Linked DNA regions of Tribolium castaneum. The main gene of each other region encodes a partner of the protein of the gene in region 5 in a complex. Links are inferred from orthologs where the notes say so. Each region holds a gene or a part of one and is shown on either strand. Other genes may lie near its edges.

Region 1 (3,271 bases), on a different chromosome or scaffold from region 5:
AGTAATTTTTCAGTCTCAAAAAACACAAAACGTAACTAAATGCAGTAATACGGAGCTGAAAATTTCATTATTTTTGCTTTTTCGAATGTTTTAGTTACATTTCACAAGTTGGAAGCGCCGGAATAAAATTTACCAAAATTATTTTCGTAATTAAATTTCAGTTTCAAACGAACGAAAAACACATTAACAAGGGCTTTATTTGTGTATTTTCTGTCAAAAAGTCAAAAAGCTATGACAGATAAATCCATAAAATCCGGGTTTTTGTTAAAAAAAAACAGAACATAGTTAGGTATTTTATTTTGGAATACTCTGTATACAGATTAAAATATTTTTAGAACGTGCCTAATAAGTCTTACAATAGTAAACCTAGCGTTTCAAAAAAATTCAACTTGATAGCTTGCATAGAAAAAAAGTTATGGAGCACCTGTATAATCATTATTTAAAATCATTGCTCCGAAAACTTAGACTTGGACGTAATCTAGGAACAAAAACAACCAAACTGTTTTATTAAAAAATTTATTAATACCAGCTATCCATTTAATAATCGAAATTATACTCAAAATATGACGAATCGAAATTATGCACTCTCACATAACCATCTTCACCTCCTGAACTATAACTCTTGCCATCTGGATGAAACGCCACACTATTAATCGGCCCAAAATGCCCTTTAACCCTCCCAAACTCTTCTTCAAACACCATATGGAAAAACCTCGAGTCAAATTTCCCAACCCTTGCCGACGTGGTTGTCACATCCATGGCATCTTGCCCTCCGCCCACAACCACATGCTCAAAAATGGGGCTAATGGCAGCTGAATTAACCGGCCGTTCTGTCTTGTAAGTCTTCAGTAACATCAAATCAGCAGCGTCGAACAGTTTAGCTGTGTGGTCTTTGGACGCTGTCACAAACATTGTCCCGTCTTTATTCCACTGCATATCGTTGATTAAATGTTCGTGTTCACGTGTTGAACTGATCTCTTTGCCTGACTTCAAGTCCCACTTGATCAAATCCCCGTTTTCGTGCCCGGTTATTATAGTTTCGTCCAGGTTATCCCATAGGATTGACGAAACACGGGAACCTTTAATCGGGATGCGTAAAATGGGGTCGGCGTGCGAGATGCTTTCGTCCACGTTACGGACGTCAATAATGAAGATCTCGCAGTTGTGTTTGAGGGCTTTGTCGGTGGTGTACACTGCCATGTTGCCCGAGTAGCTAAACAGACACGTTCGGACTGATGAATTGGTTGAGATGTTCCCGATTTCTTTGCCCGTTTCACAGTCCCATACTTTAAGGGTGTTGTCACCGGCACCTGACAGGAACCTATAAAGTTTAAATAGTTTAAAAAGTAGCAAAATAGGTGATATTTCTGGTCTAAGTAGTATTTGATTAAATCAGTAAAAGCAAATTAATCAAAACTTGTACAGGGTGTCTCACCTAAAACTTTCGAGATTAATATCTGTTTTATTAATTTTAATTTTAAAATTACGATTTTAAGACTTCAGTTTTTGCATTAATTGGATTTTAATCTTTACTTTCCTAAATATCTGCATTTTAATTTTCATAAAAATACGTTGACAAATAACTGAGATATCAGGCTCAAAAGTATTAGGTGAGGCACCCTGTATATTCGCTACTGAGGCAACCTTATCGCGCACCCATTTGCTTTATTGCAGCAATAAATTTATTATTATTATTAACCTAGTGGTGGTCCAGTCGACGTCGATGCACCAGACAGCCCCCTGGTGGCCGTTGAAGGTTCCCAACCTCTCGCCATTAAGGGAGTACCAAACGTTGGGTTTGTTGTCCTTTGAGGAGGAGAAGAGGAGGTCGCCCTCACGGTTGTACTTGATTTGGGTGATGGCACGTTCGTGGCCGTGGAGTAGAAGGGGTTTCTGTGGGGGTTTTGAGGTTAAATTTAAGCGAACAATATGTGGGTGAAATTGTGGGGTAATGTAATGTTTTACGGTTGTGGGGCGTTTTTTTCGATTGATTGTGAGTCGTTACTTACCATTTTGTTAAAAAACTGGGCGTTTTTTTAAGGATTTTAATGATTAAACACGCTTTTTTTGACGGTTGTTTGACAGAAGAGGTGTCAAAATTAACTGTCATGGTGGGTTGTGCAGTGGCGGGGTTAAGTCAGTGCCGGCTCAGGTGAAATAACCGTATTGTCAAAATTAACTGATAAATGGCGTTATTGCCATTTTGGCAATTTTTAGCAGTTGGGAAAAATATGTAATAAAATTAACTGTGATTATTGATTAAAAACTCTTTGGGCCTTTACTGATTTTTTTTTTTAATTATTATCTTTACAAACTTAATCTTTTAAAATAATATTTCATTGTAGCGATTTTGTTTATTTTTGTATGAAATAAAGGGCTTTTGGCAGTAAAAAAATTAAGTAGAGCCATTAATTTAAGACCTTGGGACCTTACAATCTTTTTTTTATCTCAACTTTTTAAACTTTATTTTTTCAACTCCCTTTTCGTGTTTTAATTTTTGTAGGAAGCAAAGCCTGATGATGGGAATTTGATTGTAAAAAAAATTAAGTGTGGATAAATATTCCCTGGGGCCTTACCTATTTTTTTTTCTTTTTTTTTTGGAAAATATTTTAATTTTTCAAACATTATTTTTTAACCCCCTTCCCATTTATTGATTTTGTTCAATTCTGCAAGGAATATATAGCCTAGCCATGAGACTTTCGACTGTAAAAAAATTAATTGATGACAAACATTCTGCTTACTGAATGTTTTTCTTTTGTTTTTTTGCAAATGTTTTACTTTTTAAACTTCATTTTTTTCAACCGGCTTTCCGTACTGCAATTTTGTTTATTATTGCAGGAAATAAAGCTCTTGGATAGTGTTCGACTGTAAAACAATCAAGTGGAGGTAAACACTCTTTAAAACCTAACAGATTTTTTCTTTTTATTTTCAAAATTATTTTGAATTTTAGAACTTAATTTTCGCAACGCTTTTACCGTGTAAATAATAAATATTTTTGCTAGTAATAAAGCGCTCCAGTAGGGCCTTGGCTTGTAAAAAAATGAAGTGGGGACAAATATTCCTTGTAATCTTATTGAATTTTTTTTCTTTTTTTCTTTTTTGAAAACTCCTTGACTTTTCAAACTTTATTTTTTCAATCTCCTACCCGTGTAGCGACTTTGTTAATTTTTGCAAGAACGCGTCCTACTGATTTCAGCAACTGTAAACTAAAGAAACAAAATGGGGATAAACACTTTTTTTCGAAATATGTACAGGGTGTAATAAAAAACAA
Region 2 (3,270 bases), on a different chromosome or scaffold from region 5:
TGCATAATGAAAGTCTTTAACCCAAAAAGGAAAATACCAAGTGAAAGAACAAGAAATGGAATTTAATTTGTAGCTTTTTCAGACGCTTTGAGCTTCAAAAACTTCCAAAAATAATTTTTTTATTTTGGGCTAAAAACGCAAAAATAACGCCATTTTAGACTTCACTTAGTGATTTTTCGGTCGGGTTTAGAAAGCGTATAAAGAAGCTTGTTCCAAATATATAAATATCGTAAAAAAAAGTTTTAAAGTAAAAAAAAAACATCTATTTTGATTTATTTTGCAGCTAATTTTACTAAAATTTCTTGAAAAATACGTTTGAAACTTGCTGCAAATTTAACAAATAATTCACAAAGAAACAATTTTAGTTCAAAAACGCTTCAACCGTCTCACCTAATCCCGGATTTGCAAATTGATGAAGACAATTTTGTATAAATTTTAGTAAAATTCTTGAAATTAAATTGAGGAGATCTCCATAGAAAAGGTAAGTTAGGGCACAAAAATACTCGTATGTTTTTTATTGGTTTCAAATAAAAAAGACCCAACCTGACTGTCACTCTTAATACTCTTTCCTGTGATCTCTCCTTTGCCGACTCCAATCCTGATTGGTCCCCCTATAATTCTGCCTATCTCCTCTGAAATTTCCCTAAAAAACCAAACTCAAAACTCACCAAACCCCAACACACCAACTCACTTGATTCATCCCCCTTGAAAAGAAATTCCCTTGCTTCGTCTCCAAAATCCTCTCATTCGAATCAACGAAATTATTAATCTTATCCGCCAACTGCAACGCCAGTGATTGCAAACGCGACGGCTCACTTCGATGCATGACAACCGTCTGAGTCGGGTCATCGAGCGACGCCATCAGCTCCTCATTGATAATCATTTTGGAAATAATCGAGTGAACCACCGGCTTATCCAACTCGAACATTTGCGCGAGCGTTGCCATGGAAATCGAGTCGTAAACGTGCGAATAAGTGAAGAGGTACGTCCGCAAGGACTCCTCCTTAATCAACCGCGTCAGCATCGCCCTGACCGCGTCCGCCTGATAAAACAAATCCCAAACTTTCGCGTTCATCTTCTCGTTGATAATGAAGCCGTTGCACGCCGACCAGTTCCCGTTGCGCATGGCCTTGGCCGCCGCCACCACGTGCTCGCGCATGCTCTCCGGGGGGCCCACCAGGCTCTGCCTCTCCGAGCTCCGCAGCTGCTGGTAAAAAGTCTTCGAGATCATGCGCCGGCGGGCGTCGAACTCGTGCGCCGCCATGTAGGGAATCTCAATCAGCATCGCCGAGACCAAATAAACGCACTCCAAAAGCTCCAAGTTGATGTGCATATGGAAGGGCATCTGGCGCTGCTTTTCGATTTTCTCCTGCTCTTTGCTCCGCTCATGCTGTCTCTGGGGGAGCAACCCCTGGGCTAGCAACTCCTTGGGCTTCCCGGTCATCATCAAATCCACGAGACAGTTATGCGCGTCTTTGATATTCGCGTGCCGGAAGGCACACAAACCCAGATGGGCCATGGTACGGTTGTAGAGAATCTGGGTGCTGGGGTCCGAATGGTGGATGGTCTCCTGGAGGTGGGACATGAGGACCAAGTCACGCGCTTGGAACCAGTTATCGTGCAGGGCGTGGTGGTAGATATGGGAGAGAATCGCACGTGTGCGCAACCGATCGGTGCCATCTTTCGCGTAAATGAATTTGCACAACTTTTCCATTTCTTGCACCGAAGTGTACAAATCCCTGGGGATTTCCCCGGCTTTTTGCTGTAAAACCCGCGGGTCGAACTTGTAATACAGATGCTCGATTTTGCGCAAATAAATGCGGCAAAGTTCGGACGGGGCGTTCGTCCGCTCGAGGTATTTCATCGTCTTGTCGATGATTTCCGAGACTTTGGCCTCGTCTTTCAAGCGCTCGACGTATTCGTTGCTGTGCGGGTCGCACTCTTTTAGTAGCTTTGTGAATTCGTCGTCGAGGCGCTCGACGGAAGTTAGGACACAGCCGCGGATTTTGTAAGGGGGTTCTTCCAGGTTTTCCGTTTCTTCGGTCACGGATTCCGAGACGAAGAGTTGGGGGTTGCTGAGGAGAAGGTCGAGCATTTCGGACATGCGCTCGAGTAGTTTCATCCAGTATTCGGGTTTCATTGCGTCGGAGACTTTCGGGTTGTAGTCGAAAATTGCAGAAATTATGGCGAATTTGATTTTGACGTAGATGGCGGGGCCGAGTTGGTGTTGGTCGGAGACGTTTTGTAGTTCGTGGAGGAGTTCGATTTGTTCGCGACGGTCGGTGCGTTTTTTGCCACGGGCTGCCATTATTTCGGAGAGTTTTTTTATTACGAGGTTTAGGTCGATTTCCGCGTCTTTGGCGAACATTTTCGGCTTCTCCTGAAATGAGTTATTTGCATGATTATGTTATAGAATAAGGTCTTCTGAAGCTGTTTTATAAAAAAGAAGTTCATTGCTCTATGTTATCCAATCAAGACAGCGGAATTTTTAACTTTGTGTTTTATTTTAATTTTTCAAGAATGATTATTTTTGACAGACTCTAACAAGAAAACCAAACATAATATCTTTCCAAATTTTTAATATGTTATAGAAAAATATCTTCTGAAGCTGTTTTATAATAAAGAAGTTCATTTGCTGTATGTTATCCAATCAAGACAGCGGAAATTTTAACTTTGTGTTTTATTTGAATTTTTCAAGAATGGTTATTTTTGGCAGACTCTAACAAGAAAACCAAAAACAATATCTTTTCAAATTTTTAATATGTTATAAAAGAAGGTCTTCTGAAGCTGTTTTATAAAATTGAAGCTCACTGCTCTGTGTTATCCAATCAAGACAGTGGGATTTTTAACTTTATGTTTTATTTGAATTTTTCAAGAATGGTTATTTTTGGCAGACTCTCACAAGAAAACCGAAAATAATATCTTTCCAAATTTTTAATATGTTATAGAAGAAGGTCTTCTGAAGCTGTTTTATAATAAAAAAGTTCATTGCTCGATGTTATCCAATCAAGACAGCGGAATTTTTAATTTGGTGTTTTATTTGAATTTTTCAAGAATGGTTATTTTTGGCAGACTCTCACAAGAAAACCAAAAATAATATCTTTCCAAATATTTAATATGTTATAGAGGAAGGTCTTCTGAAGCTGTTTTATAAAAAAGAAGTTCATTGTTCTGTGTTATCCAATCAAGACAGCGGAATTTTTAACTTGGTGTTTTATTTGAATTTTTCAAGAATGGTTATTTTTGACAGACTCTAACAAGAAAACCAAA
Region 3 (2,950 bases), on a different chromosome or scaffold from region 5:
ATATTTTATGTGCCTTTCTATTAAACACTGCCAAATGATTTTGTAATGTAACAAATGAATAAATCATAAAAACGATGAGTTTTTGGGTTTTATTAGGTATCAAATAAGAAGACAATTTCTTTATGTACAACTTTTACTTATCACAAATCTAGTTATTTATAAATCATACATTCAAACATACTGAACGCTGTGTGATAGTGACCAGACAAAAAATTATAGAATGACACTACCAGACTCACAACAAATTTAAAAAAGAACAATCTGATAACAAAACAATCATTTTCGAAATTTATAGTAACTTTACTTCGGGAATCCGTTGCTCAGTTCAATTTTGCTGTCAGTGAACTGCATATGATTATCGATGATTTGGAAAAGCTCTGCAGGTTGTGGTATCCTGCCCGTCTCCAGTTTGGACCAAACAGGAACGTCATTCAGTGAGATTTCAAAAGCCCCCGATTGAATCAACTGTCCTTCGATAATATTACACACAAAGAACAGCATCATGCAAGCATAAAGCTTGTTTTCTGTGCACCAAATCCACCATGAAGGCTGTGGTTGGTTAATGTATTCAAATATGTTAATAGCCCCCAAAATACACACGATTATCACCATTTTAACGATGCCCTGAAAACGCATAATCATCAACTTTCACTCATTATATCATACTTACAATAAGTCTGGCCAAATACATGTTCAAGCCTGGGGGGTCGTAATTTTGGCCATCAACGGCTATAAAAGGGTATTTGTCCCCAACGATTTTTACGTACTGCTCGAACGTTTTCCGGTAACCACACGAATAACTAAATTAAATAATTAGATTATGATATTGGGGCTAGGGGAACATACCAATACAAAAATTTTAAGGTTGGGGCCCCAACATTTTGACTTAGCTTCGACGGGAGGACGTCTTCAGCTGCTACGTTACCGTTTGATTCGAGAAAACACAGCCCCGCAAACACCACTAAATACCAAAAACATGATATTTGTCTTAAACCAGCCATTTATTTTGCTTTCTAATGCTCTCGTCAGCTGATAAATTTCCAATGACAGGTGGGACTGGTGGAAACGTAGGGGAATTTAGACACCGACTAGATCAGCCTAAAACACTAATATAATAATTATTTCACGTCCAAAAAACACGAGATTGTGTTAGCTGCTACAAAATTTGGTAACAAACAACGTAATCGTTAAATAAGGCCATTATCGGCTGGCAATTTTTACGAAAATTGTGTTTTTGTAGCAATTGTGGAGTTTTTGTTTGCGCTACATTGGCAGGTATTTTTGGCAGTTTAAAATGGCGTCTCGTGGGGCTGCTTCGAGGCGTGTGCCTGAAAATGACTCGACGATTGCTTACGTGCAAGCCGACGGCTTGGTAAATATCCCTTCAGTTTATTTAAACCCAAAAGTCACACTTTGGCTACCTCAGTTAGTAATTAATACCTAACATACGGAACCTAACCTCTTTCAGGCCGTCATGAAGATCGTAAAACACTGCCATGAGGAATCGACCACTAACATGGACATAGCCCAGGGGGCCCTTCTCGGCCTTGTCGTTGAAAACCGGCTGGAAATCACGAATTGTTTCCCATTCCCGAAACAAACCGACGAGACAATGGACGAGGACGAGTACCAGCTAGCGATGATGCGGCGCCTGCGACGCGTCAACGTCGACCACTTCCATGTGGGGTGGTACCAAAGCGCCGACGTCGGGAACTTCCTCAGCCTCCCTCTTCTCGAATCGCAATTCCACTACCAAACCTCAATCGAGGAATCCGTCGTTGTGATTTACGACACTCAAAAATCCTCGCGCGGGTTCCTCACACTTAAAGCCTACCGTTTGACGCCTCAAGCCATTGAGATGTACAAGGAGGGCGAATTCACGCCCGAGGCCCTCTTGAAGCTCAAAGTCGGATACGAGAACCTCTTCATCGAGGTCCCCTTCGTTATTAAAAACTCCGCCTTGACCAACATCATGATGTCCGAATTGCAAGAACTTGTCCCGGAAGAAGAAGGCTCGAAATTTTTAGATTTGGGAACCGCCTCCGTCCTCGAGGGGCAATTGCGCTGCCTCATGGACCGAGTTGACGAACTCAACCAAGAAGCGATCAAGTTTAATAGATACCAACAGTTGGTCAGCCGGCAACAGCAAGACAAACACAGATATTTGCAAAAGAGGGCGCAGGAAAATGCGGCTAGGGCCGCGAAAGACGAGCCCCCATTGCCCGAAGAGGACATTAATAAGCTGTTTAGGCCACATCCGGTGCCCCCGAGGCTGAACCCGATGATTATCGCGGGACAGATTAATACGTATAGTCAGGCCATTTCCCAGTTGTGCTCGCAGAGTTTGGCTAAGTTGTATATTACGCAAGCGTTGCAGAACGCCAAGGAGGCGAATTCTAATCCTTGAACTGTTTTGTTACGTTGTTTTACAATAAAATAATATACAATGAGTTTGGGTTTTATTTAAACCAGGCGTAATAAAGCTTAATTGGCGCAGTCAGTAGGTTTTGTGGTGGCGTCTCTTCTGTGAAATTTCTACGTTTGAACGTTTAATCATCCCCTTAAAAAATGGTACTAAACCAACAGTGGAGAAAGTCATATTCGCAACCTTTTCATCGTTTATGTTGATTTTGTTGTTTTTTGATTGAAATAAAGGACACAGCTTTTAAAAAATAATGTATTCAATTGCCCTAAACATCAATTTAGTCATTACAGTCTTACGAACCTAAAGAAATGAATTTTATTTATTTACATTTCTATTGCACAAACTGGCCAAAATGTACACACTTTTTTGTGCAACTTTCTCAAACTCATACAAACCAATAACAAACAACACACGAAAAACAACAACAAAACAAGACTAGATAATCAATCACAATAAATCGTTTCGTATTACGCTATTAGCAGTTCAATCAATAAGAAAAATCGTGTCATGAGTATAAAAATGTTG
Region 4 (4,140 bases), on a different chromosome or scaffold from region 5:
AAATAAATAAATAATACCGACAATTGTGTGAGTTCATATTATCATCTAGAGAAACAAATAAATTCAAAGTTAAAAATAGGTTTTATGCAAAAAAAAAAACTAAACTGACAATTCATTAACACTTTTCCTCTACAGGTGTCTCAAAATTGGCGAATTCTCAGTTCAAAGCATTGTAGAAATCATTTCAGTAATCCAAATATATAAAAAAAAATTAAGATTGGGGGCATCCCCACAAAGATACACTGGTTTGGAAAATCACTCTTAGAATTGCGTTTCGTTCAATTGCATGCTAAAAGTTTCAGTATTTATTGGAAAAAAAAAACCCTGAAGGTATCAATACTAACCTAAGTATCGTTGGTATTGAGGTACCGGAAGAATCGAGGTATTGAAAATATCGTAGTATCAAGGTATTGACAGTTTTATGGTATCAGCTCTGGTATCAGTGAATCTAATTTTTTTACTGAATTATTGAAGTGTTGGCTTTTTTCTAATATATGCCATAGAAATGGATACATTTTATTCTGCGATTCTTTACAACACATAGACAGTCGGAAATTATGATACAGAATGTGTCTAATCATTTTTAAAATGCTTTCCCGAATTTTTTTCGTTTTATATTTTTATACAATCGCACAGTATTTTATGGTAGCATTTTAACAACTTTTGAAGGCATTTATTTATTATTTAATATTTACACTGATCTTTACATATGGTAACAATCTGAACTAAAATTAATTCACTCCTACTTTCTCTTCCAAACTAGTTTTGTAAATTTAATTAATTTCAGAGGACAAATTATAATTTTTTTCCTTTTTCTAAAATGCATTATTAAAAATTTAGTTCATTTAATATAAGTTTTTATAGAGTCAAAGTATCAACCATAATTAAATTATTTCCAATTTGCATGATTTTCTGACGTTTCAATTATAAAGAATACACTAAAAAACACCGTAAACTATAACAGGAAGATGAGCAATATTTTACGTAGATCTTTATGTAAATATTCAACGAGCAGCAAATATTCGAAGTTTAAAATTTATGAAACGCTCCTTCATACACAACCGTAACATAAATTACACTAACAGAAAGTTATCGCACTAGACTCGTTAAACGTAAAAATAACACACAAGTGCGGTAAATCACGTAGAAGAATGTCAAGTATTTCAAAATAATCACTAAACAAAATACAGGGCGTTTTTCCGTAAACTATTTACCTTACGAAAAAATAATACTAGTATAAGCAAGTACGCTGAAATTTTATTTTCTGGCCAATTTCGCAAAAAAAAAACACCCAATCAGAAACAATACCACATTGAATCAAGTAATTTTTTAAAGCATAACCTTTAACCAAAATAATCAAAAACTCGAAAAGTAAAAAAAAATTCAAAAATGACCACATTGTTAATAGACTTGATAATGTGCTAACTATTTTTTCGTAAAGTAGAAATATTAGAAAAAAACGTTTGGTTTTATACTTTGCCGGACAGAGTATGTAACTTACATTATTTTTTTTATGATTTGGTCATGTCATACAAAAAATACAAAGAAAGTTTATTCAAAATACCAAATGTTTAACGACAAATTAAGATAATAAATGTGATAAAAATTACCTTATATCCCAAATAATGATCCCTTTCTGTTGCGGATGCTGCGGATCTCCCTGAGGCGAGTACGTCACCAAATACTTCTCGCACGGCGAAAAATCAATAAATTGTGCATTGGCATGGGCATACCTTTTGTATTGGCTAAACTTCTGACCCACCCATAACGCGATACCTTGCTTATGGAAAGTGGCTAAATACGTACCTAACGGAGACCACTTGATATAAGCATGTGTCCAAGCCTATCCCAAAAAAAAATCATAATCATAAAAAACCAACCCAAAACGATTAAAAAAATTACATGTCTCTCCTCAAGTAAGGAAGGATCAGGCTGCGTATTTTGCCAAATTTGAACCGACTGTCCCTGTCCCAAAACCACGGCAAATTGGTCGTAAGCATCAGGCTCGAGCAAATAGTGGTGGACGTCCCCCTGGCCCTCGTAGGGCTGCGGCTTCGGGGGGTCCCACTCCTCCGGAATCGCCTCATATTTGGTAAAGTCAGTGAAGAGATTGACTTGGAAAGTGTGCTGCTTATCAAGCTTGAAATTATTGGTGAGCTTCACGGCTTCAGCTGCGTTGACTGGAGAGGAGTATTCCAGGAAAATGTAGCCTTTGGTGTGACCGTTTTCGGTCACTGGATAGTACTCATTGACTATGGATCCGAACTTGACGAAAATCTTATTAATGACGGATTTCAATTTCTCGATACGGTCGGGGCCCACTTGCGGGACACCGTCGACCACAATCACGCTCTCAACACCGTCAGTCTCCTTCGGCTTCTGCTTCAAAATATCGGCCAGGAGCTCTGAAACGACAAACCTAACCTCACTTTCGCGACCGCATATGTTGCAATCCAGGCGAGATATTTGATGCGAAAATGCTAAAACGTGGCTACGGTTTGCCAAATCCAACAAAAATTAATTGTTTGAGTGGACAGTTTTACGAAAAATGAGGGTTGAAAATGAAGTGACAGCATGGTTATGCCCGCATTTTGAATGAGCGTTTTTGGGGAAATACCTTCATCGGTGATGTTGTCGACGTATCCCTCGGGATCGCTGAAGTTTGGTTCATCATCGTTGGACGATAAATCGCTCTCGTTCTTCGTATTATTCCCGTTAAGGCTGTTTTTGTCGTCCACTTTCTTTTTCGCCATTTTGACACGCGTGAGGGTCGACCGGTAAAGAAGGACGCGCGGGAATAAAATGTCACAGTTTTGTAAGGCGCCAGAAATGAATTTAATGGAGAAAAACCACTTTTGGGCCCTTTCCAAGTATGGACTTGACTGCTGTGTCCTTAAAACTCATTTGTATGTTGCTAATTGGGTTAATAAATGATTAATGAATTAACGTAAGAAGTGTTGTAAAAATTGTAGAAGTTGTAAGCCTTGTCATTGGCCGTTTCAGGACGGCCATCATAATTATGTCAGAAAACCAATCATTTTCGATTTTTTGATTCATTCAAAAATTTAATTCATTGGTGTAATTGGTCCATTTGAGGTCGGCCATTAAAATAATGTGCAAAACCAATCACTTCAGAGTTTTGATTCATTCAAAAATTTGGTGCAGTTAATTGATGATTAATTCAGTGTTCTTTTTTCTTGATTTCGTGTAAATTATTATTTTTACATTAGTTAGGGCCGCTTTTACAATAGTCCAAGAAGAATAAATTTATTACGGGAATAAATTTTCAAAAATACATTGTTGAAACAATTGTAACTGTGTAATTTGGTACTAATTAAGTATACCACGAATAATTTGTTTACCCGAAGTTTATCTAAGGATAGTGAAAAATAATTAAATATGATATTTATTAACATAACTTTTCGCCAATAAAGTTGTAACCAGCAATACCTATATAATACATACACTTAAATTGGGTAGTAACAAAGCGATCAGTAATAAATGTAATTTTGATCAACAAAAAATAATAAATAATCAGTATTTAATTAATTTTTGCACAATAAAAAATTAAAGTAGTCGGTATAATATAATATTTTCCATTTAAAAAATTTAAGTGACACGTAAACTACGCACAGTATTTTATTAAAATTTGTTCGGTTTTCGGTATAAAGTCAACCTATTTTCAACCGCAATTCGGTACAAGAATCTTATTTTTTAATCTCTTGTCTTGCCTTACATTAAAAATTACAGTGATGGTTTGACTTTTATGCAAGATATTGCCAATCGCACACTTTAAGTGGTTAAGAAATTTGTACCAAAGTAACAAAATTTTGGTTTTACTGTGACCAGAACAATCTTCTGACTTAATACTTATTGAATAAGTCTAGAACACTCTCAAAATAAGAGTTTTATGGACAAATGTTTCACAAAAAAATTATCAGGAATTATTCGCAGCTCCAAATACAGCACGGCAAGAACTCTGTCAACAAGAACTAGACAAGAGTGTCACGGTTACACTCTGTATTAGTGACCAAAAATATTATTCTAATTTTGATTTTATTAATTGTAAAAACGTCACACAAGATCAAGTTATAAATAACAGTTTTTATTTTTGTTTTTCTTTAATTGAAACAACGGCGA
Region 5 (3,196 bases):
CTAATCAAGTGTGTGTGGCATGGTGGCAGCCCTGAGTCTAAAGACGCTTGCTTTTTATGACAAAAAAGTTAACATGGTGTTTGTGTTTAGTTTTAAAAAGTGTTTAAAATCGGGAAAAGTCTAATGAATCAGTGTTTACATAGTGTCATCGTGGAGGTAAGCACCAATTTTGCCATTTTTACAACAAATATTGTGATGAAACTCGGACAGGAATACCAACAACGGTACTTAAATATTCAACATTAAAATAGATTATGGTCTCAAAAAGTTTATAGAAGCGGGGTCCACTTGTTCTATAATAAATTTCAGCATAAATGTGTAATAATTACACGTCAGAACGGCGTAGACGGGATTTAAATTGCGTGCGTGTGGCAACTCTGTGTCTAAGACACTTGATTCTTTTTTAAATAAAACGCAATCATTTTTTTGAAAAATTATATTGATATTAACAATAATTGCATCAAATCCATTGAATACAACTTGTATGCAAATCCATACAATAATCGCCTTAAAATACAACTTCTATATCAGTAGCAACAAAAACCAGCAACTCATTAATTAATAATGACTCGTTACATTAGTATAGAAAAACACAAAACGGTGAAAAAAAAGTAAAAATTATTAACCATATTGCATGATCATTACACTACACCTTTTTAAAAATACCGTATAATTTAACAATATTTATATTTATCGAAGATATTTATTTAAAAATTAAAACCCTATCTAAACCGCTGCAATCTGCTACATAAAGTCGTCGTAATCGTCATAGTCGTTAACATACGCTGACAAAGGCTGCAAAAAAAATTAACCCAAACACTTGTAAAACCACAACTTACATTTCCATCATCCAGTCGTAATTTAGCCTTGCCTTTGCCTTTGTTTTTCTTCGATTTCTCGCCTTTCTCGATTTTTTGTTTCTCTAGGTATAAATTATCTAACGTATTTTTAATTTTCTTAATATCTAATGAGGACACTGCAAGAACATTCATCATTAACGCTGTTTTAAATTAAAACGAGAGACGTACAAGTGGCACACAGATTTCGTAGTAAGTTTTCGGTGAACACCGGATACTCTGTGCTTTTAGCTAGAGGTTGGAGCTTCTTAGAGAGAGCGTCTGTAAAGTCCTGAAACTCTTCTTTAGTAGTTGGCAGCGTGAGTCCGTCTAAACCTGAAATGTTTGTGCTATTGGTGTCGCCCCCAAACGTCGTTTCTAGCGCTATTTTCAAGTCCGATTCCTTCTGCATCCTGAGCTTCTCCTCCGGGGAGATTTCCTCCTCCTGTTGCTCCCTCAGCCTCCGCTCCATTTCTTCCTTCCTCTTTCTCTGAATAAGGAGAAATTAGATTTGTCACAACTATTGCGATACCCACTTCTTTCTCTGCGATTTTGTCAGCGATTGACTGCTTCTTGGGCTTGGGTTTGGCCTCCTCGGCAGGCGCCGCTTCCACCTTCTCCTCCTCCTCATCCTCCCAGCTTTCCTGCAGGAAAATGGTAAATTTTTGGCAGGAATTCACTCATTTTACCTTGACGTTGTCGTCTTCGTCCTCGCCTTCCCATTTGTTGGACGCAACCACAGGTGTAACAGATGGAGGTTCGAAGTTATCGTCGTCTGAAACAGCCCCATGTCAAATTTTCGCTCAAGTAGTGAAAGAATTGACTAAATTTTTACCCCACGATTCCATATTGGCGAAAATACGGCCGAAATTAGCACAAAACGACCTCAACCTCGAAATTCACGTGTGCTGAATAACGTGCAACTGCACCAGAAACCGCCAGATGACACTGTCAAAGTGTCACCAAACCAAACACTATCTTTTCTCGAAGCTTCCACAAGTACACCGATTTGTAGATGTATCAAACAATACGTTTCGGCTTTTTATGTCTCTTGCAAGATGAAAAGTCAGCGAAATCAGGCGAAGTTGAACAATTCACGAGCGAAAATAGCCCTCGAACACCCATCTCACCCTTGACAGAAACCAACTACGCCTGCCAACCGGCACACAATTAAGGCACCAAATTACAACCAAAGTGCAAGTTTTACAGGCTATTTAACGCCAAAGATTTTAAATAATTTGAAATTATCCTTTTGGGACAGTCATAAAAAGTTTTAATTAGGACGATTGGCCATAAATTGCTTTTTCACCGCGTTTTTCATCATTGAACAATAGTTGGCGACACTTGCTGTCATTTGACTTGTCAATGTGCGTCGTTTTACGTTTTTTAAACTCGTTGGAAAATGTTAAAATAGTGCGTGAAAATGGTCGTGGGTAACACTAAGGTGGTCCAGGTGACCAACATAGCCCCCCAGGCCACCAAGGACCAGATGCAGACGCTGTTCGGCTACTTGGGTAAAATCGAAGACATTCGCCTGTACCCCACGATTCGAGACGTCTCCTGTCCTGTCCAGTCCCGGATTTGTTACGTTAAATTCGTGGATTCCAGCACGGTAGGTGTAGCCCAACACATGACAAACACTGTTTTCATCGACCGGGCCCTAATTGTCATCCCTGTGATCAACGGGGACATCCCCGACGAGTACTACGCTCTGGAGATGACCCGTAACGGGACCATTGTCCCCGGGTTTAACGTAAACGAGCCAAAGTTGCCCCCACATGTCTCCAATTCGTTCCAAGGCACAGGCGAGGAACGCGTTGTTGTCACAAATGACCCCCATTTGACTGACAATGGCTGCGCCCCCTATCCCCCTTTGCCGGCCAAATACGACTCGATCAAAGTCGAGGAGACTCGTCGAACGGTCCAAGTGGTCAATATTGACCCCGCCATACCCACAGATGAGATAATCCAGTATTTTTCACAAGCCGGTGAAGTGAAGTATTTGAGAGTGTGTGAGTGCCCCAACGACAACACCACGCACATTTTGATCGAATTCACGGAACAGCCAAGCGTCGTGAACGCCATGAAAATGAACGGTGAAGAGTTCAAAGGCAAGCCGCTGGAAATCATTCACGCCACTCAACCAATCATGAAGCCCCAAGCCAAAAGTAACGAAGCCGCTCAGAAGGAAATTGAAGAAGCAATGTCTCGCTTTAAAGAGGCTCAAAACATGATCAATGCCTCGATTGAGCCAGTTATCGGAATGCTAACTAAAGATAAAAGGAGCTCGCGACGTTCCCGCTCAAGATCTAGAGGGCGTAGACGCCGCTCACGCTCAAGGTCACTCTCGCGTGGTTCAC
Region 6 (3,231 bases), on a different chromosome or scaffold from region 5:
ACGATGTGGTTTTCCCGCACAAGTTCCCCTTTTCGGGGATGGTGCCCAAGGTCTACCAACAAGTCAAGGAGTTTATTTACGCGTGTTTGAAATTCTCCGAGGATTTGAATTTAAGGTTTGGTTGTTGAATAATTCCAATCGAAGTGGGCTGTGACTGAATTGTAGTCAAGTGGAAGTCGACGAAATGATCCGCAAGTCGATGAATTTGCTCCTGACGCGGACGTTTAGCGGTTGTTTGTCGTCAACGTTTCGTAGCCCGCACATCAATCTTCAGGAAATTATCCAAATAATCATCGATACGGGCTATTTGGAGGAAGCCACGGTCTACTTGGACCAGTTTATTTCAAATATTACAGGGTAGGGCACAAAATTAATCCGCCAATAAAAACAAAACATTTAGGGAGGAGTCTCGAGGGGTGTCCACGGGAGTGGTCCAAGGCCAACCAGCCATGTTCCGCGTGGCTCGTGAAGACGCCGTGCGCCAAATTTGCGAAAAATTGCGCCAAAAATTGAACGAGTTTTACGAATTGGAGAGTTATGATTGGCTGTTGGGTGAGCCGTCAGGACACGCCTCTAGTTACATCTCCGATTTGATTGCTTTCCTCCAGACGACGTTTCAGAGTTTCACCAATTTACCGGTTTGTTGATTGGTTTTGTTGATTTTTTATCGAGTGATTTGTAGCCGGAGGTGGCGCAAGTTGCGTGTAAGTCGGCGTGTGAACACATTGCCAATTCGATGTTTCAACTGTTGATGAATGACGAGATCAAGCAAATTTCCATGGGGGCCTTAAACCAAATCAATTTAGATTTACTACAGTGTGAACGTAATTAATCGAAAAATGATAACCGGAAATTTAAACAAGTTTTACAGAATTTGCGGCCTCTGAGCCCGTCAAAGGCCTACAAGAGGACGTCCTCTTGTCGTATTTTACCAAACTACGGGAGACTTTAGACCTGTTCACGTCATGGGACTGGCCCACTTATTTCCACGACTATGGGCAAGAAACCAGCAAATATAAGCAAGTCAATCCAGATGATGCGATAGTATTGCTCGAAAAGTAACAAATCGGGTTATTAAACCACAAGTTAATTGATTCTTGTAGATTGAAAGAAGGCGATAAGAAAACTATGTTCACAGTATTGAAAAAGAACGAAAGAGACAAGAAGAAGTTACTGGAAACGGTCCTAAAACAACTGAGACAGCTGACCCAAATAACGCCCAACAAATAACCGACTTGTTGAATTAAATAATAAATTTTATTAATTATTCGGTGTTTTAATTTTTGTGGCCAACTTGGCCACCAAATTTAAAAAAGTAACAACTTGGCGTTTGCGCATGCGCATTGCCAACATAACCATCAAATTTGCGGTGTGGTTTTTCCCCTTAAAACAGTTAAAAATTGCAAAAAACCGTGAACTAACTGTAGAAAAATGCAAGTGCCCCCTGTCTTTATCGACGTGAGTCCCGAGGACCAGGTAGGCGCCCATTTGTGGCATTTTGTGTCCATATGACACTTTGAGGTTATGTTTTAGGCGCAAGAGCTCCGCATTTACTTAAAAAGTTTAGGCGCTGAAATTTCGGAGGAAAAATCAGTCAAGGGCATCGAAGACGACCTACACAAAATAATCGGCGTATGCGAGGCCTGTTTCAAGGAGGGCCAGGAGCCCGAAGTTGAGATGGTGCTCAACGACATTGTCTCAATCATGGTGCTTGTAAGTGTCTCGAATCATTTGCGCGTGGTATTGGACGTGTTTTAGATCCCGGCCGACCGGTCCGAGAACATCATCCTGGCCTTTTGCCAGAAGCTGCTCAAGGCTCAGGGCCCCAAACTGGGGCTGGTGTGCCTGCGCGCCTTGTGGCTGCTGTTCCAGTCGCTTGACGAGACGTCCCCCATGCGCTACCACGTCTACTACCACTTGATTTTAATTGCGGAGAAAACGGACCAGGTCAAGTCGGTGTTCCAGGATATCGAGCATTTGAAGCAACAGTTCGCCCCGTGTCCACCGACAAGCGAGCAGTTGCAGATTCTGTACCGGTTGTTGCACCAGGTGCTGCTAAAGAGCAACCACAGTGAGCAGGCTGCCAAGGTCATGATCGAACTTTTGGGGACCTACACCGATAAGAACGCCTCGCATGCCCGCGAGGACGCGATCAAGTGCATCGTCTCGGCCCTGGGGGACCCCAACACCTTCCTCCTCGACCCCTTACTGGCCCTAAAGCCGGTCAAATTTCTCGAAGGGGAGCTAATCCACGACTTGCTTAATATCTTTGTCAGCGAAAATTTGGCAACGTATTTGAAATTCTACCAAGAACACAAGGAGTTTGTCACGTCGCAGGGGTTGAACCACGAGAAGAACATGCAAAAGATGCGGTTGTTGTCCTTCATGCAACTCGCTGAGACCAACCCGGAGATCAGTTTTGACGTGATTGAGAGAGAGTTGCAGATCAAGGCTGAGGAGGTCGAGGCGTTTATTATCGAAGTCTTGAAGACTAAACTGGTGAGGGCCCGCATGGACCAAGCCGCTCGGAAAGTCTACGTCTCAAGCACCATGCATAGGACTTTTGGGCGCGCCCAGTGGCAACAATTGAGGGATTTGCTCCACTCGTGGAAAAGCAACCTCAGCATGGTCCAGGAAGGGATGAAGAACGTCACAGCGGCACAGCTCGAAATGTTGAACCAACAATAATTGTTTTGTAGCGATTAATTTAAGAATAAAAATTTTGGAACTAGTTGGGGATTTTTATTTTAATACCACGTCAAGTAACTAACTAAATTTGCTGCTTAAACTACGAAAATTACATTATTGCGCCCCATAATTTAATGTGGGGGTTTCACCCGCCACGTGTCGCACGTTCCTTGCCCCCAATCGGGGTCAAGAGCCGCCGGTGCCGTTTCATGTTGGCAGCACTGTGTGGTGTTGTGGCCGCTGATTCCGATTTTGTGGGAATTCCGTGCCTTCTTCTGATGCAATCACAGTTTAATTTCCGCTAGATAACACCGAAGAGTGCGTTTTGGTGTTGGTGTGTTAAATAATTGCAAATTTGGTGGTTGGAGTTAGGTTATGTCGAAACGTGTGCAGCCCCCGTGGTCGGCGCCGGAGGCGTCTGGCGGTCCGGTCCTGAAAGTGTTCAATAGTCTGACGCGTCAGAAGGAGGTGTTTAGGCCGATTTCGGGCAAAAAAGTGACTTGGTACAGTTGCGGGCCGACTGTTTACGACGCCTCGCACATG
Region 7 (4,053 bases), on a different chromosome or scaffold from region 5:
CACTTGGAGATGAGCAATTGAAAAAATACACTTTACGACATCATAAACTCAAATGTCATCAAATTAGTTTGAAAATTTTATAAAGTAGTTAATCTGTTGTAAAATGTTGCACTCAAACGATTATAACTTTTCAACATCTCAAATTGTGTGGGTTCGAGTAAAAATAAAACTGTTAATTTGATTTAGTTATTGAATGTTGGAACGTATTAACAAAAAAAGAATGAATCATACGATAATATGACATCTTACGTCATAAAAATGTGCTGATAATCTTGAATAAGTAAATTCTAAACCTAATAAAGTAAATCCGCAACAAAATAGAATAATGCACTTACCTTTATTTTTCTTTTGTTGTGAATACGACAGCTTTACTTTCTTTGTTGAAAAAAATTAAAAAATGCGTGAGCAAATGCACCTTGCTGCTGCTACACGACAAGAGTCCGTTTTATTTTTTTTTCACTTGTTGGTTAATACTATGCACGAGAATTAACTGCAAATTATTATTTATTGATCATTTTATTTCGGCCTTTCGCTAATACATGATAAAAATACAAAATCTAGCGTTTCGCACTGTTGGTGTATGGATAAAGGGTCTGGAAAGTCACGGAATCAGGGGGCACCTCATCCTCCGACTCCGACTCCCCGTCCGATTCGAACGTATTATCCGGAATATCGTACAACCGGATCATCGGCTTATTCGGATCTTTCATAATCAAATACTTCCCATCCTTCTGTTTCATAACAATGTCAATAATACACCGCAGAATCCCCCACGCATTATCCATATTCAGATTAATCTGAGTGGCAAACTCGTGCGGCTTATACTGCTGTGTACCCAGAATAACATGCTTGCTGTTATCCCTGACATGGGCCCGGGAAACATAACCGAATTTAATTTGGTCGCTGCCAGCCAGCAACGCCTGAACGGTCCATTTGGCCAGCTTGCAGGCGTTATTACGCAGCTCATTGGCCAAAACGGCGCCTCTCTGGGTGTCCAGTTTCTGGCGCCACTCCACCCCATTGGCCAATTTGGAATCCCATTCGTTCAAGGCCTTGATTGACAGGAATTGGAGCTCGCCATTCGGGGACTGGACCACGGCATCGTGTTCGCAACGGACAACCAAAAACTACACAAATTAAACGTGGACAGAAACAAAACGAAAAAATTACTATTCCGCTCCCTAGGTCATATTTGCGGTATCTGTAGGCCACACTGGCGACCTCCCCTTCCTCCTCCTCGGAGATAAAAGGGTTTGGGTTGTCGAACTTGAAGCGGGGCTCCCCGGTACCTGTTCTTAATACCTGTTGACTGAAATTGTGGTTAATGAAAGTGGCTTCCAAGGCCAGGTTTCGAGGGGAGTTTAAGGAGTTGCCGTCGTCTTGTGGGGGCTCCACGGACGTTTCGTTGACGGTTAAAAGATCAAACTCCGTATTGTCACGCTTATCAAAGAAGAGTTTATCGCCTGAAAAATTTTGTTTGAGATTTGTTACACTTGTAAGGGCACAGTACCAATTTTTTCAATCACGATGTCCCAGGAATAATTCGAGCGAGTGCAGCACATGATGGTCGCAAGGATCGCATCAGTGGCGTACACATTGCCCTCCGTTTTACTCAACTTACGGATAATCGGATCATCAGTTGTTGTAACCTGAGGATAATTAATTTTAATTTTTTGCCATCAATGATATTAAAAATAACCCACTGTATGGAAGATACGATTGACGCTTTGCAGCGGCTTCTCATTCTTCACGTTGACACGATCGTACGACTTGTCATAGTACTCCAACTCGCCACAACAAGTAATATCCTCGCCTAAAAACCAAAATAGAAAAATTCGCATTGCTTAATTAAACCAACCGTCTTTGACGTTAGGGAGCGACAATTTTCCCAACCGAGGGAAATCCATTTCCTCAATGGTGACCCAATCCGGTTTGACCGTAACCGAAGCGTCCCTGATCTTAATCTGGGGCTAAAACCGCCAACTATATTGCGGTAAAACTCAAGCGAGATCTTACCCGTCCTTGTCCCCATTTCTTAACCTGGCTCCTCTTATACGTGTCCCTGGCTTTAACCCCCTTCCCGAGGGACTGCATGCCGCTGCCTTGCACCCCAGCACGGCCGCCACGCCCGCGCAAGTTGCGCTGGTTCGCGCGGAAGCGCCCCCGTTGATAGGGGGGCTTCTGGACGCGTGTTGTGTCCACCAAATGAAAAGTGCTCTCGTCTTCGTCATGATAATACGCGTATTGACTGCCAGAACCGAACTGGGACGCATACTTGTCTAAAATTGCGAAAAATAAGTCACTTAACCTCAAATTTGACATGTGTCAATGTCAGACTAACTGGCATATTTCTTGTCTTGGAAGGCGGCCCCCGTCCAGTCGCTGATTTTGCCGAGACGGTCGCCTTTGCTGAAGGGCTGGTACGGCATATCTTTGAACTGGTCGGGCAGCTCGCAGGGCCCCCATCCAGTCGGGTTGTCCTGGATTACGGGGGCCACGAATTTGGGGACCTCACCCGCTGATTGACCATCAGTCATAGTCATTTGACTTGCTTTCAGAAGTTAGGAAGTGTTCAATTCAATATGTTGAAGCAGAAACCGCGAGTTGTGCACAACACTTGGCAAAAAGAAATGTGCGCGCGCAGATTCTGACAATCGACAGTTTTTGAAATTCGGCGCTTTTGAAATCAAAATAACATGGCCAACTTACATCAAATGTCGCTGCGCTTGAGAAAACATTTTCATCCACTTTTTTTTCAATTTAATTCTCTAATTTTTGTTTACGTGTTGTTTCACTTACCTTTTCTACACTTTTTTTCAGAAAAAAATTGTCACCCTGATCCGCAGCGACATTTGATGTAAGTTGGCGATGCTAAATAATAATGGAATCCTGTTAAAAATCCTTCACTCTTGGGTTTCCAATTAATTTTAAATTAAATTTTTTCCATTACAACCTAATTGATTTATTGCATTGTTAATAACTAATATTTAACTTGGAAAAACAGCAAGAAAATAAGCTCTAATGGCAATAAGGCATTATTTTTTTCTATTTTGGTGTCTCACTAACTTTATTTTGCATAAAAACTCATTGCCATCACAAAGAACGCAACAGCGCAAAAATTTGTATTGAATTCAAATTCTTCTACACGTAACTTCACTTTTTCGTAGTATATTTTACGTCCCCTATTATTGCGTATTGACGATGACATCAGATTTCTCTCAGCAAAGAGAACACTGATAAGGAGTGGGTTTAATAAGCTCGCATTTGCATAACACACATTTATTTATAATAAATTTAAATACGAATTTGTAAATATTATGCCTGGCACACATCTGTACAAAAAGTGCCCATAAAATACAAGCAATACCGTTATCATGTCCACGACAATGAATAAATAACACATTTTGACTCCATATTTACAACATGCTGTCTGTGACTTCGCCCGGATTCTCCAGCGCGGCTTTGCGTTCGCTGACAGCGGTCACAAGTTTCCTGTACGGCCCTAGGGGCAAGTTCAGGCTTTGGAGATCGTTTTCTGTCAGTATCATCAGCGTTTCCAGGTCGATTTTCTGCTCCTCGAAGCGGGGAAGGTACTCTCCTAGCCCCCAGGCGGTCAAGAAGCGTTCCAGGGGAGCGTTCGGGTTATCGTCGTCGCTGGACTCGGGGTCTGATAACTCGTCTTCGATTGATAGAGTGTTGGTTCTGGGGCCGTAGCTTTCCCCTGACCCGATTGAACTCTCCTCGTTGGGGCCTTCGCTGGAGTAGAAGCCTTGGAATGTGTTGGTTATGCTCTTTCTAAATAAAAAACGTGTTTTTGTGCTTTCGCATATTGATTATTTGTTACCGGAACGCTATGCTTCCAATTCCTGGGCGCACGAAAATACTCGCTGGTTCTTGTTGGAGTTTAGTGTCGCCGTTTGTTTCCAATTCGTGCATGAAGTCAGGCTGGGAGATGGACCTTGTGAGGCCGTTGCTGGACGGTGGTGGCGGCGGAGACGACTCTATGTACTCAGCTTCGTTGAAGACCGATTCCAGACGGCCTCTCCTGCCATC

Evidence for each region.
Region 1: eIF3j (region 5) and eIF3i share a complex: the UniProt entries of both Drosophila melanogaster proteins name them as parts of the eukaryotic translation initiation factor 3 (eIF-3) complex. The link is inferred for Tribolium castaneum from reciprocal best matches to the Drosophila melanogaster genes eIF3j and eIF3i.
Region 2: eIF3j (region 5) and eIF3c share a complex: the UniProt entries of both Drosophila melanogaster proteins name them as parts of the eukaryotic translation initiation factor 3 (eIF-3) complex. The link is inferred for Tribolium castaneum from reciprocal best matches to the Drosophila melanogaster genes eIF3j and eIF3c.
Region 3: eIF3j (region 5) and eIF3h share a complex: the UniProt entries of both Drosophila melanogaster proteins name them as parts of the eukaryotic translation initiation factor 3 (eIF-3) complex. The link is inferred for Tribolium castaneum from reciprocal best matches to the Drosophila melanogaster genes eIF3j and eIF3h.
Region 4: eIF3j (region 5) and eIF3b share a complex: the UniProt entries of both Drosophila melanogaster proteins name them as parts of the eukaryotic translation initiation factor 3 (eIF-3) complex. The link is inferred for Tribolium castaneum from reciprocal best matches to the Drosophila melanogaster genes eIF3j and eIF3b.
Region 6: eIF3j (region 5) and eIF3m share a complex: the UniProt entries of both Drosophila melanogaster proteins name them as parts of the eukaryotic translation initiation factor 3 (eIF-3) complex. The link is inferred for Tribolium castaneum from reciprocal best matches to the Drosophila melanogaster genes eIF3j and eIF3m.
Region 7: eIF3j (region 5) and eIF3d1 share a complex: the UniProt entries of both Drosophila melanogaster proteins name them as parts of the eukaryotic translation initiation factor 3 (eIF-3) complex. The link is inferred for Tribolium castaneum from reciprocal best matches to the Drosophila melanogaster genes eIF3j and eIF3d1.

The regions. Positions count from the first base shown.
Region 1 is NC_087394.1:748,471-751,741, forward strand, and holds eIF3i (eukaryotic translation initiation factor 3 subunit I), read right to left. Parts: upstream 2,138-3,271; 5' UTR 2,013-2,137; coding exon 2,010-2,012; intron 1,894-2,009; coding exon 1,700-1,893; intron 1,322-1,699; coding exon 538-1,321; 3' UTR 501-537; downstream 1-500. UniProt on the Drosophila melanogaster protein: Component of the eukaryotic translation initiation factor 3 (eIF-3) complex, which is involved in protein synthesis of a specialized repertoire of mRNAs and, together with other initiation factors, stimulates binding of mRNA and methionyl-tRNAi to the 40S ribosome.
Region 2 is NC_087401.1:16,331,015-16,334,284, forward strand, and holds the end of eIF3c (eukaryotic translation initiation factor 3 subunit C), read right to left. Parts: intron 2,381-3,270; coding exon 692-2,380; intron 644-691; coding exon 557-643; 3' UTR 501-556; downstream 1-500. UniProt on the Drosophila melanogaster protein: Component of the eukaryotic translation initiation factor 3 (eIF-3) complex, which is involved in protein synthesis of a specialized repertoire of mRNAs and, together with other initiation factors, stimulates binding of mRNA and methionyl-tRNAi to the 40S ribosome.
Region 3 is NC_087398.1:6,460,957-6,463,906, reverse strand, and holds eIF3h (eukaryotic translation initiation factor 3 subunit H), read left to right. Parts: upstream 1-1,144; 5' UTR 1,145-1,294; coding exon 1,295-1,372; intron 1,373-1,468; coding exon 1,469-2,407; 3' UTR 2,408-2,450; downstream 2,451-2,950. Other genes in the region: SelT (thioredoxin reductase-like selenoprotein T homolog CG3887), read right to left, coding at 301-624, 671-800, 847-1,001. UniProt on the Drosophila melanogaster protein: Component of the eukaryotic translation initiation factor 3 (eIF-3) complex, which is involved in protein synthesis of a specialized repertoire of mRNAs and, together with other initiation factors, stimulates binding of mRNA and methionyl-tRNAi to the 40S ribosome.
Region 4 is NC_087399.1:10,622,590-10,626,729, reverse strand, and holds the start of eIF3b (eukaryotic translation initiation factor 3 subunit B), read right to left. Parts: upstream 2,801-4,140; 5' UTR 2,754-2,800; coding exon 2,618-2,753; intron 2,406-2,617; coding exon 1,903-2,405; intron 1,844-1,902; coding exon 1,611-1,843; intron 1-1,610. UniProt on the Drosophila melanogaster protein: RNA-binding component of the eukaryotic translation initiation factor 3 (eIF-3) complex, which is involved in protein synthesis of a specialized repertoire of mRNAs and, together with other initiation factors, stimulates binding of mRNA and methionyl-tRNAi to the 40S ribosome.
Region 5 is NC_087396.1:21,287,100-21,290,295, forward strand, and holds eIF3j (eukaryotic translation initiation factor 3 subunit J), read right to left. Parts: upstream 2,000-3,196; 5' UTR 1,685-1,999; coding exon 1,672-1,684; intron 1,612-1,671; coding exon 1,526-1,611; intron 1,481-1,525; coding exon 1,373-1,480; intron 1,327-1,372; coding exon 1,029-1,326; intron 977-1,028; coding exon 840-976; intron 796-839; coding exon 745-795; 3' UTR 501-744; downstream 1-500. Other genes in the region: Srp54 (probable splicing factor, arginine/serine-rich 7), read left to right, coding at 2,260-3,196. UniProt on the Drosophila melanogaster protein: Component of the eukaryotic translation initiation factor 3 (eIF-3) complex, which is involved in protein synthesis of a specialized repertoire of mRNAs and, together with other initiation factors, stimulates binding of mRNA and methionyl-tRNAi to the 40S ribosome.
Region 6 is NC_087400.1:753,795-757,025, reverse strand, and holds eIF3m (eukaryotic translation initiation factor 3 subunit M), read left to right. Parts: upstream 1-1,301; 5' UTR 1,302-1,431; coding exon 1,432-1,476; intron 1,477-1,533; coding exon 1,534-1,713; intron 1,714-1,758; coding exon 1,759-2,688; 3' UTR 2,689-2,731; downstream 2,732-3,231. Other genes in the region: Sec15 (exocyst complex component 6), read left to right, coding at 1-115, 166-357, 401-638, 683-824, 872-1,058, 1,104-1,230; CysRS (cysteine--tRNA ligase, cytoplasmic), read left to right, coding at 3,064-3,231. UniProt on the Drosophila melanogaster protein: Component of the eukaryotic translation initiation factor 3 (eIF-3) complex, which is involved in protein synthesis of a specialized repertoire of mRNAs and, together with other initiation factors, stimulates binding of mRNA and methionyl-tRNAi to the 40S ribosome.
Region 7 is NC_087399.1:4,807,827-4,811,879, reverse strand, and holds eIF3d1 (eukaryotic initiation factor 3 p66 subunit), read right to left. Parts: upstream 2,611-4,053; 5' UTR 2,544-2,610; coding exon 2,342-2,543; intron 2,280-2,341; coding exon 2,017-2,279; intron 1,971-2,016; coding exon 1,859-1,970; intron 1,814-1,858; coding exon 1,704-1,813; intron 1,650-1,703; coding exon 1,511-1,649; intron 1,464-1,510; coding exon 1,171-1,463; intron 1,128-1,170; coding exon 558-1,127; 3' UTR 501-557; downstream 1-500. Other genes in the region: Sans (ankyrin repeat and SAM domain-containing protein 4B), read right to left, coding at 3,417-3,795, 3,845-4,053. UniProt on the Drosophila melanogaster protein: mRNA cap-binding component of the eukaryotic translation initiation factor 3 (eIF-3) complex, which is involved in protein synthesis of a specialized repertoire of mRNAs and, together with other initiation factors, stimulates binding of mRNA and methionyl-tRNAi to the 40S ribosome.